Arabidopsis thaliana: one gene and its partner. The protein of the gene in region 1 interacts with the protein of each later gene in a pairwise test. Each region holds a gene or a part of one and is shown on either strand. Other genes may lie near its edges.

What was found.
Region 2: the proteins of HD2B (region 1) and GRL come close enough for resonance energy transfer, tested with the Arabidopsis thaliana proteins (one study listed by BioGRID).

What each region holds. Positions count from the first base shown.
Region 1 is NC_003076.8:7,532,295-7,537,306, reverse strand, and holds HD2B (histone deacetylase 2B), read right to left. Parts: upstream 3,362-5,012; 5' UTR 3,188-3,361; coding exon 3,175-3,187; intron 2,915-3,174; coding exon 2,844-2,914; intron 2,754-2,843; coding exon 2,545-2,753; intron 2,415-2,544; coding exon 2,335-2,414; intron 2,250-2,334; coding exon 2,098-2,249; intron 1,984-2,097; coding exon 1,903-1,983; intron 1,803-1,902; coding exon 1,694-1,802; intron 1,553-1,693; coding exon 1,426-1,552; intron 1,332-1,425; coding exon 1,253-1,331; 3' UTR 980-1,252; downstream 1-979. Other genes in the region: AT5G22660 (FBD, F-box, Skp2-like and Leucine Rich Repeat domains containing protein), read left to right, coding at 1-377, 461-601, 692-979; emb1211 (MORN (Membrane Occupation and Recognition Nexus) repeat-containing protein), read right to left, coding at 3,666-4,073, 4,157-4,923, 5,011-5,012.
Region 2 is NC_003071.7:14,800,703-14,805,780, forward strand, and holds the start of GRL (transcription activator), read right to left. Parts: upstream 3,149-5,078; 5' UTR 3,058-3,148; intron 2,843-3,057; 5' UTR 2,824-2,842; coding exon 2,422-2,823; intron 2,329-2,421; coding exon 2,254-2,328; intron 1,874-2,253; coding exon 1,793-1,873; intron 1,586-1,792; coding exon 1,505-1,585; intron 1,391-1,504; coding exon 1,308-1,390; intron 1,213-1,307; coding exon 1,128-1,212; intron 1,042-1,127; coding exon 916-1,041; intron 782-915; coding exon 674-781; intron 380-673; coding exon 105-379; intron 1-104. UniProt on the Arabidopsis thaliana protein: Involved in regulation of actin and microtubule organization. Part of a WAVE complex that activates the Arp2/3 complex.

The DNA of each region.
Region 1 (5,012 bases):
GCCCGGTTCTTGAAGATTTAACTGTTGTTAGAAATGTAGATGAAGCCACTGAGAAGGTTTTAAGGGTGAGCTCTCAGTCACTAAACAGTCTCAAACTCGTTATTGATAGTTCCAAGTGTTGGTATAATGATGATAGTGACGATTGGAAGGTTGTCATTGATGCTCCTCAGCTCGTGTATCTAAGTCTTAAAGATGATCAGTCAGTGAGTTTTGTGATAAACAATTTGTGTTCATCTGCAAAGGCAGATATCAAGGTCAGTTTTAATGTGTCCGATATTTGGGATCTAGAGGAGTCGTTCGAGAGAAGCAATGTCGGTAAATTTCTCACCGGGCTCTCAAGCTTAAGGGACATGACTATTAGTGGAACAACTTTGAAGGTATATATGCATACAAATATATAAAACTGGTCATTTGAATGTGTCTCTTAGGATGAAAACTGCATTTTCTTTGTGTTTTGCAGATCATTTGTCACTACTTGAAGCACGAGCCGATGCCTCAGTTTCGTAACATGACGCGGTTACATGCGAAATTCTATGTTTGTGATTTGGAAATGTTGCCATGCGTTCTTGAGAGCTGTCCAAATCTCAAATCACTTGTCTTGGTAAATGATTTTGCTTTAAAAACCACATGTTTCATTGTCACTGTTATAAAAGACGTTTATTCAACTGTTTGGGATAATTGACATATGCAGAAGCTGAAAGGTGAAATGGAAAATGAAGAAATCAGTCTATCATCATCAGTGCCGAAGTGTTTGCAATCAAGCCTTGAGAATGTTGAGATTATACGACCAAACTATGGAAGTGGAGAAGAGATGAAACTATCAAAATATTTCCTTGAGAATTCGCTAGTCCTCAAGAAGTTTAAGCTATGCAGAGATTGTCATAGCGAGGAACAAGAGTCTCTCGTCGTTAGGGAACTCATGACATTCCAGAGATGTTCTAGTGCTTGTGAAATCAACGTTGTTAGATTTCAAAGATAGGCTTGGTAATTTGATTTGGCTATTATGCATCAATTTTGGTGTTTATACTCTATAAGTAATAAACTCAATTTGTGTTTGCAATTCGAGTCTTCTTTCTCATTTCAGCAAATATTCATATACTGAATTACATAGGAAAGTAGAAATTGCAAATACTCAAAATAGCTCATCCGATAACAAGTTATACTAATAAAATAAGATAAAAATCCAAAACCACACTTCCAAGTGTTTTCATCATCTACTCGAAAACCCAAAACCTCTCCTTGATCCACGTCCTTAAGCTCTACCCTTTCCCTTGCCCTTGTTAGAACCCTTGTTGTTGGAACCACCAAATTGTTTGCCTGAGTTGAATGGCCTGTACACACACAATACCATTACACATCATTACCAATTAACATTTTCACTCATATCTTTGGGCTATGAGAAAGATAAAGAAAGAGACAACTCACTTCTTGTTGTTGTTACCACCGGATGATTGACCTCCAGACTTGGGGCTCTGGTTAGCATTCACAGGAGACTTTCCACCCTTCTTAGCTGGGTGTGGTGTGGCGGTGTGTCCTCCTTTCTTCTTCTCTTCTGTACCAACAACACAATGTGAAGATATCTCTTTCGTCAGAATACAACAGAGTATACAACAAATTACTAAGAAAGCTTTCTCATTATTTAACTATCTAATGCTTCTAAGGAACAAAAACAAAGAGAGTTTCATCTTTTCACCTGTCTTCTGAGGAGTAGAAGCTGGTGCTGCTGCTGGTTTTGCCTTCTTTCCAGAGACGGGTGTTTTGGATACAGATTCATTTGGCCTCTTCTTGTTGATTGGCTCAGGCTTTAACACAAATCATATGATACAATTAAGGTCAGAAGGAGAATTAAATTATGTAAAAAGTAAAGTAAACAAAGAACTGCTTGATAGACAATGTATCTACCTTCTTAGGAGTCTCCTCCTCTTCTTCATCCTCAGAATCCTCCTCCTCGTCATCATCTGAGTCATCTTCATCAACATCCATCTACAAAAAAACATCACCATATAATTTATCAACCAACTACTCATCTTCTCCTGACTGTATATATGAGTACTCTAGATAGAAAAACAGATATCATAAACAGCTACAAAAACTCACTCCTTTCTCAGAGTCATCATCCTCTTCAGACTCATCTTCATCATCAGACTCATCTTCCTCGTCTGATTCAGGCTTCTCTTCTGCAGGCTTCACTTCGGCAGGTTTGGCCTTTGGCTTTGTGTCAGCCTTGACAACAGCTGCTCCAGCATTTCCTGAAATGTCAAAAGAAATTGACATATGAGATAACAACTTTTCAATAAAAGAAACAAATACAATATTAGCATCAACAACACATACCGTTGGCAGTAACAGCAGTAGGGGCAGGAGCAGGAACAGCTTCAGGAACATCCTCATCATCCGAACTAGTGAAGTCATCCGTGGAAACTCAATCAACAAGAATTAAGGAATACACAACCAATAAGACATTGTAGCTAAACCTTCTAGTATCTTCCAGTCTTAAATATAGAGACAAAGAACACCTAGTCAAATCTATCAAAAAAAGGATATTGCTCGATGTTGGGGGATTTGTAGCCAATGAAATGAACATTTGCTTTGGTACCGCTGTGTGAAAGCTCAAACTCTTTATCAAAAACCAAATCAAAGCTAATCTGAGGGAACTTGTCTTGTGAAAGTGTTCCAATAACAAGTTTAGCCCCACCAACAGTCACACTCAAAACCACAGATTCTCCAGATTTCACTGTGCAGTCAAGTGAAGCCTACACATAAAGAAAGAGAACCAAAACATAAAGAGACTGTATTAAGCTAAATCCTAAAAACTTTATACAGTTTGGAAGTGTGAAAATAACCTGAGAAATGTGGACAAGGCTGTCTTCTTCAGGAGTCACCTTAGTAGCGTTTTTTGGTGTCACCGCAACTCCTAAATAACATTATACAAAGAAATCAAACATGAGTCACTCATCAACTTGTAAAACATCTACACATAATCAAAGCTGATACCGAAACCAAGCTCTATGTGAAACCTAAACCCTAAATAAGCTACAAAGGCAACAAGGTATGAACATATACACGAAATACAGCTAAATACGATCTTATATGAACAATCGATCAAAATTCTCGGAACGTGGAAAATAGAAACAGTAGACGGAAGATATAAGAGGAATAAATAAAGAATCTTACCCCAGAACTCCATTGTTGTTGAACGAGGAAGAGAGAAGAGAGGTTGTTAGGTTTTTTTTTAGAAGCGAAAGAGAGAAATTGCAGTGAAAGAGGCAGTGGGTTTGGGGCTATTTTATAATCGAATGAGGTTTAAGAAGTCTCTTTAGGGTTCTTCGAGAGTCTACACGGCGTCGTTTTGCCCTTAATTTCGTAACGCTTCCTTTATTTTGGAATATTTGCGTTAATGTAAAATTATTTGCATATTTGGTAAAGATTCTAAATTGATAAATGAAATATTAACTTAAATATTCTGAGATTATTCGATTCTCATTCTCTAAATCATATGATTATGAAAAATAAAACAGAAATAAATCTTCAGTTTTTTCGTTTAAATAGTTTCGGTAAAATATTTATTAGATAATACAACAAAAATTCAAATGATCTTGTCCACCAAAAAAAGAAGCCTTGAAGTGCATAAGAACTCGAGCTAAATGCTACAGAAGAAGAGAGACTCAAGACACAGCAGGAGTCTCAGCAAACAAATCAGAACATTTTGTCTGAATTTGCAGCGACAAAACCACGCTCATGTCCCCAACCGGTGTTTCCCAGAGGCCGGAGTCTTTGAGGTATTCACTGGAGCTGCTATCGGGAGGAGAAGAAGATGATGATGCGTTGCAAGAAAGTAGTCGTGATAGAGACATTAACTGAGACTGAGATCTTGAGCTTCCATAGCTTCTCTGGACACAACCTCGGTTTGCTACCTTTCCCATCTTCAATCTAGCATTGTTACTCGACAATGGAGGAAAATGGATTGAAGCTGATGCGGTATCAGCACCTTTGATGATTCCTGTGTTCACTTTTGATGGTTCTGCTCGATGTTGCTTCCATGCTAGAAATGAGCTTTCTAGTCTTGATTGTACCTGCCAAGTTTACATATATCAACACTAACTTCTTCTAATCGAGACAAACCGAGATTATACTGAAAAATAAGAGAGAGTATTACCGCAGGAAAGAGGGTACACGAAGCAAAAGACAATGAGGATGAAGAAAAAGGAGAATTCCTCCTTCCCTTGTCTGCAGATCCAAAACTTGATGGCCCAAGATCATCATCATCATCATCATCGTCATCATCATCACCATCGTCATCATCCTCATCATCATCATCTTTGTATTTCTCTTCTTGTTTATTCTCTTGTATCTTCTCTTTGGCAGTGACAACTTTCTCTTCTTTATAAACCGGGACCAAAACATCTTCATCCTCTTCAGTTAAACCCATTTCAGTTTTCTTTTCCTCTTCTTGTTCTTTCTTCTTCAATTCTTCATCCATATCTTCTATAGCTTCCTCTAAGCAAATCTCAGCCTCTACTAACTCAAGTTCTTGCTGTATCATCTCCTTTCTCTCCTCATATGCTTTCTTTTTCTCTTCTGTCCATTTCTCTAATCCGTCAAGCATCGGCTTCACCGATTTCTCGATTCCAAGTACAAAGCTTTTTATTGGGTGTTCCTTTTTCACTACCACTTCTTTCCCATAGAACTCGTCGAACCCAAGTGGCAGAAACTCAACTTTTGAAGGATCCACTTCTTCTCCTTCCTCCAGAGGAGGCTGCCAAAATAGTCGAATGCCATGCTTTTCATCCTCTACATAGTTGATTATTCGACCTGTTGGTGTATGTAAAATAACAGGGTCCTCCTTCTGGACAAGTTTTGAAGGATCATTTGGATCAGGTTCAGGTTCTTTGTTCAGTAAAACAAACTCCGGTGTCACCTCCACTGATCAAGAAAATAAAATATAGAAAAAAATCAGTAGAACATCAATGCATTCAACCATGTAAGACTAAAATCTTGAAGGGTCATTACCA
Region 2 (5,078 bases), on another chromosome or scaffold:
CGACCAAACAAAAGTAAATCTATAAATTCAGAGCTAAAGTCACAAAAATTCTCCAGTATCAGATGAGGATTACAAAGTACTGAACTATTAAAAATTGGAGTTACCTGATCATTTTCTCAACTTGTTTTGCTACACTATATTCTAGATCAGCTTCCTTTTGTTTAGTCCGTCCAGACTTAGCCATCTTCTTTGATTCTAACACTCGGGGTAAAACATACAACTGGTAGTCTTCGTGCAACAGAATGTACTGCATAGTTAGATTAATAGAGTCAGCTGATGCAAAACTAATTCCAATACCAAACTCTTTTTCGCAGACCATTTGATATAAACTCACCTCATCCCGGAATAACGTCACGACTAAGTTTTCCTTTAGCACGACCTGAAATACAACAGGACAGTATTAGAGACAGCACGAATTACACGCAATCTTGATTTGTTTTGAGCATCAAAAACCTAACTCCATTACTAATCTTAAGTTAAACAAACACTGAAAATGAAAGCACTTAACATTTTACAAACAAAGGCAGAGAGAGGCAGAAAATTTCTGATTTGTGAAACAAATTTATAGAACCTATTATTGACCAGATAAGATAGTTTTCAAGATAGAATCCTTGGAGGAAAAACTTCTTTATCAAGATCACAATCGAGAACAAAATGAAAAACAGATTCATACCAGGGCGATATCAATGCTAGTAACACGAAGAAGCTCGTCGGGGCAAACGAGATATCCAAGAAGCACCCACTCTCGGTACGAAGTAACATTTGCAAGATCTTGCGCTCTCTGTAGGAACCAAGAGTGTATTATCTAATATTAGCACTATACATCGAAGTAGAGTTGTAAGGGAAAGACAATAGCATCCTACTAATTCTGAGAATCCTAAGCTTTTATGTTGATAATAATCTAGCCGTTCGTACCATGGGATGAGCAGAATTTGTAAGTATATCTGGGAATCTAGGATGATATGGGCTTAAAAATCCCTCATTTCTCAACTTCCTCGTATCTGCAGATAGAAAAATACTGGGTCCTACAGCCTCCAGGACCTAGGAAAATAGTAACGTTGTTAGTACTGCTGTATCAGTTGCAATATTAGCTCGTAGGATACCCGTGATTTGAATAAAATATTAACCTCTCCAATCCTTGGGCTGACAAAATTCAAATCTTCTTGTAAGCCTTTCAATGGGGGATCATAAGAGTCTATGAATTGCACCAAGCTGGATGCAAGACGAGGAGTGTTAATATATGATATCAGAGTCTATTGATTATATACAAATTAAAAATGATACTACAAGGAAAAAAACATCCATACCGGTGATAAAAGTCACAGTCTCGATCATTTCTTGATAGCGCATGCAGAAGGTTGTAGACTTGCAACAACATTTTCCTAGGAATCTACTTTGATAAAATAAACACTCTTACATATTGATAATAATGTAATGTCTCACATGACATGTGTAATCAATCCAAATAAACAAAGAACTAAGAAAAGGAACAAGCTCAGCATACCTTCTCTGCGAAGAGATTGACTCGGACAAATGCACAAAAGAGATCCATGAATGCATGCAGAATAAGTGAGTTCTGATGAGGCTGCAAAAAGCTGAACTAAGTTATGAGCTAATCATGAATACTCAACAATTTTATCTTCATCCTCACAGACATTTTTGACAAGTAAATAATAACTTAATGTACCAAAACATTTCATGACCTCCACCTAAGGTACGAGTTCAAAAGAAAGCTCAAAGTTTCAACCCAGAGCAAGTAAATACTTTCCGCAGATGAGAGACTTTGACTCACCAGCAAGGTAATTACAGTGCTGCTTAGGTCCAATATAAGCCGCAGTGCCTGTTCTCGAAATGCCATCAAGTCGAGCAGCAGCTGATTCAAGAAAAGAAAAATGCATGACGAGAGGACTATGAAGGCACCCCTTACTGAAATGCTACACACGAACTAAGGAAAGAAGGCTAGCAAATAACTACTCGTTTACATTTTAAAAGTTAAAACCATGTATTAGGTAAATCATATATGCATGCCCAGATATATAAAGCTGACTAATGGTGAGATGGAATAGAAGATTGAATATTGACTATATAGCAGACTGAAGATTGAAGATTGACTAGGTACACAAAGAAAACTAATAGAAAGATTGACTATATAGCATGTAGGACTTCCGAGATGCTTCACCATTCTCGAACAACAAGTTTCACAACAACAGAACGTAAACCCAACAACATATTACATAGATAGTTTCTTATTACCTGTATCCATGGCTCTAAGCTCTGTAAGTGAAGTTCAGCACCATCATGCAAGCTATCCAGTGAAAACTTATCAATCTGCATAAGTATTGCAGAATAAATCTTTTTTCATTTACCATCAGATCAACAAATCAAACAGTAAGTCTAATAAAAAAAGAACTCATGACTTACACGTTCAAGTTGCAATTTGCTGAAATGCTCAGGGAACTTTTTAGAGAGCAAAGTGCATATCCGTGGATGGTTAGGGAAGACACCCGCTTTCCAAAATGCTTCAGAGAATACATGGCCAACAGGATCAGGATACTCCAAGATTTGATTCAGTCTATACATTTTAGCCATGAGACCGTCAGCAACCTCAATCATTTGAACTACCCATTGTATGTTCAAAGCCTTTGTGGAACCACCAACATGTCCATCAATTTGCTTAGAGCTCCTAGTAGAAGACACTGATGCAGCCATTTCAGGTCCCAAGTACTCAGTCCATCTGGAAGGACCTTCCCATTCCCTTGATCTCACAGAAGTCGGGGACATTGATTCATCTTGAGATGGATAATATTGACGAGAATTCGCCATTAATTCAGTACAATAATCTCTACAATAAAGGAAAATGTATTTCAAAATCACGTTACACAATCTCGTCCAACATAATTTACTTAGCTCTCTACTCTTGCATTCATCTTCCAAAAACCCAGTAATACTCAACAACGAGTGACGAGTGAGAATAGATATCCCCTCGTCAATTTCCCAGCAACCAAACAAGGAGCTAAAACCAAGTCAAGCAAGAGTCTCGTGAAGATTGAAAGTTACCTGAGAAGCTTTAAAGGCGAAAGTCAAATCGAGCAAAAATGTCTCAGTAAGATCGGAGCTTCGTCTGAGAGTTCAGATCTGAATTTCTGCAACCTACTCCGGAGACGATGATGACGACGACAAAGAGGAGAGAGAGCGTCGGGCTTAATCGGAGTGTGTGAGCCGAGAAATAAAGAGTTGCTAAATTCGGGTCTCTCTCATTTAAGACAAAATTAGTCAGTAGAATTTCTTTCGTTTTCAACTAAAATGCAGATTTTTTTATTTTTTTTTACTCTTTTCTTGCTCAAGCACATTTTTTACTTTTTACCTGTAAATCTAAACATTTCCATAGGAAACGAAACAATGTAAGTAGAAGAAAATTATGAACAATTGAACAGCTGAAAGTGTTTATCCCTTTCAAAAAATAAATTGTTTATAAAATTTTAATAAAATATGAGATTTTTAGTTATATTGAATCGGAATTGTCTACTTGAATTTGAGCAGTGCAAGACAACATTTTTTCACTAGAAAAAATGATATTTCAAATCATGTGTTGTTTTGGTTTGATTGTAGTTATTTGGATTACAAGTTTTTTTTAGCAAAACTATAGGATTAGCTCCAACTATTGAGATTTTAGCATAACAAACCAATGTTCTTTTATCATATGTACATTAACAGAAGGTAAATTCAAATCTACGACATCTATTTCAATAATGAGGATAGCTAAAATAGAAAAAAGTATTTGGTATATTATGTAGTAAGTACTATTTTTAGTATTTAAAAGGAAAATTTCTGTTAGAAAAAGAACAAACGTTCTAGTTGGGTGGTTGAAATGTAAGTTTTCGAAGCTTTGACAAAATGAGAACAAGTCCCTTAACCGGTAATTTTTAATATTTAAAAACAATTAACCAAGAGAACAATATTGACGTCGACAAATACTAACTTGTAGTATATAATTATCATTATCTCTACATATGGAGTAGCTTTTAGGTGTAATAATTGTCAATTATTTTAGAATTACTGTGTTAAACTTTAGTATGATTCGACTAATAAATAATGTTTCTGACGTTTCTGATGATGAATTTGCCCCTCCCTCACTTTTTGTTGCGTGTCCAAAGCTCAGTGCTATCCAAGCATTTCATCTTTTCAACATAATTATTTGATTTGAGAATTTAATCATAATGTTGATATTACTTTTTTACTAATAGAAAACAATCAAACAATCAAATTAATAAGTAAATTAGTGGAAACCATGACACACAAAAACAACTTCATATAATAAAGTAGGGTTGACAACGCAGGAATATTGTATTACAAGGCACATCTTGTAACTTTGTTGGACAACTGTGGCTAAACAAGCTTGGCCTTCACAATAAGCAACAATGATTCCAAAATCTTTTCCCTCTGTGCACATATCATTGCATCACAGATTTTGTTTCCTTTCACATTATCTTTTGAGGTCCCTATGAACCAGAAAATAACAAAAAAACGGTTTTCACACGGTTGCTACAATATGACCGAACCTATATTCTTTATTCGCATGAATCTTCCATTAGCTTCTTCTTTGTACTCGGCTATTATCTTGGATTCCAATTTCTTCATCTCAGGACTGGGCAGTTATTTTACTGAACTCCAAATTAATTCAAGAGTCTACAAGTGTAGTTGCTGCCGTGCCTAGACCTACGGAGGTAAGGTCCATCTGAAGAGAAGCATTTTTCTTGTCAACATGTTATCTTATATAGTATGAACATTACCAATCCGGTGTACAATTGTTTATAAATAGATGGATGGTGGTCCAGTAGCATTTGATTTGGTCCCTCCAAAGGAGTTGGAGCTTGCTAAGCACTAAGCACTAGTTCAACCCGCTAAGGGTTATGGTTTTCGGTCCACGAAGATGTACTGTCCGAAACTTTTTGCAGTTAAGAAGAAAAAGGCATAACTCCATGAAAGATCCAATCAATTTCAACGCCAAAGCTCATTATTCTCTACCATTATTCAAACAATTTCATTTCATTAAAAGAAAAACATGAAAAGAAAAAAGG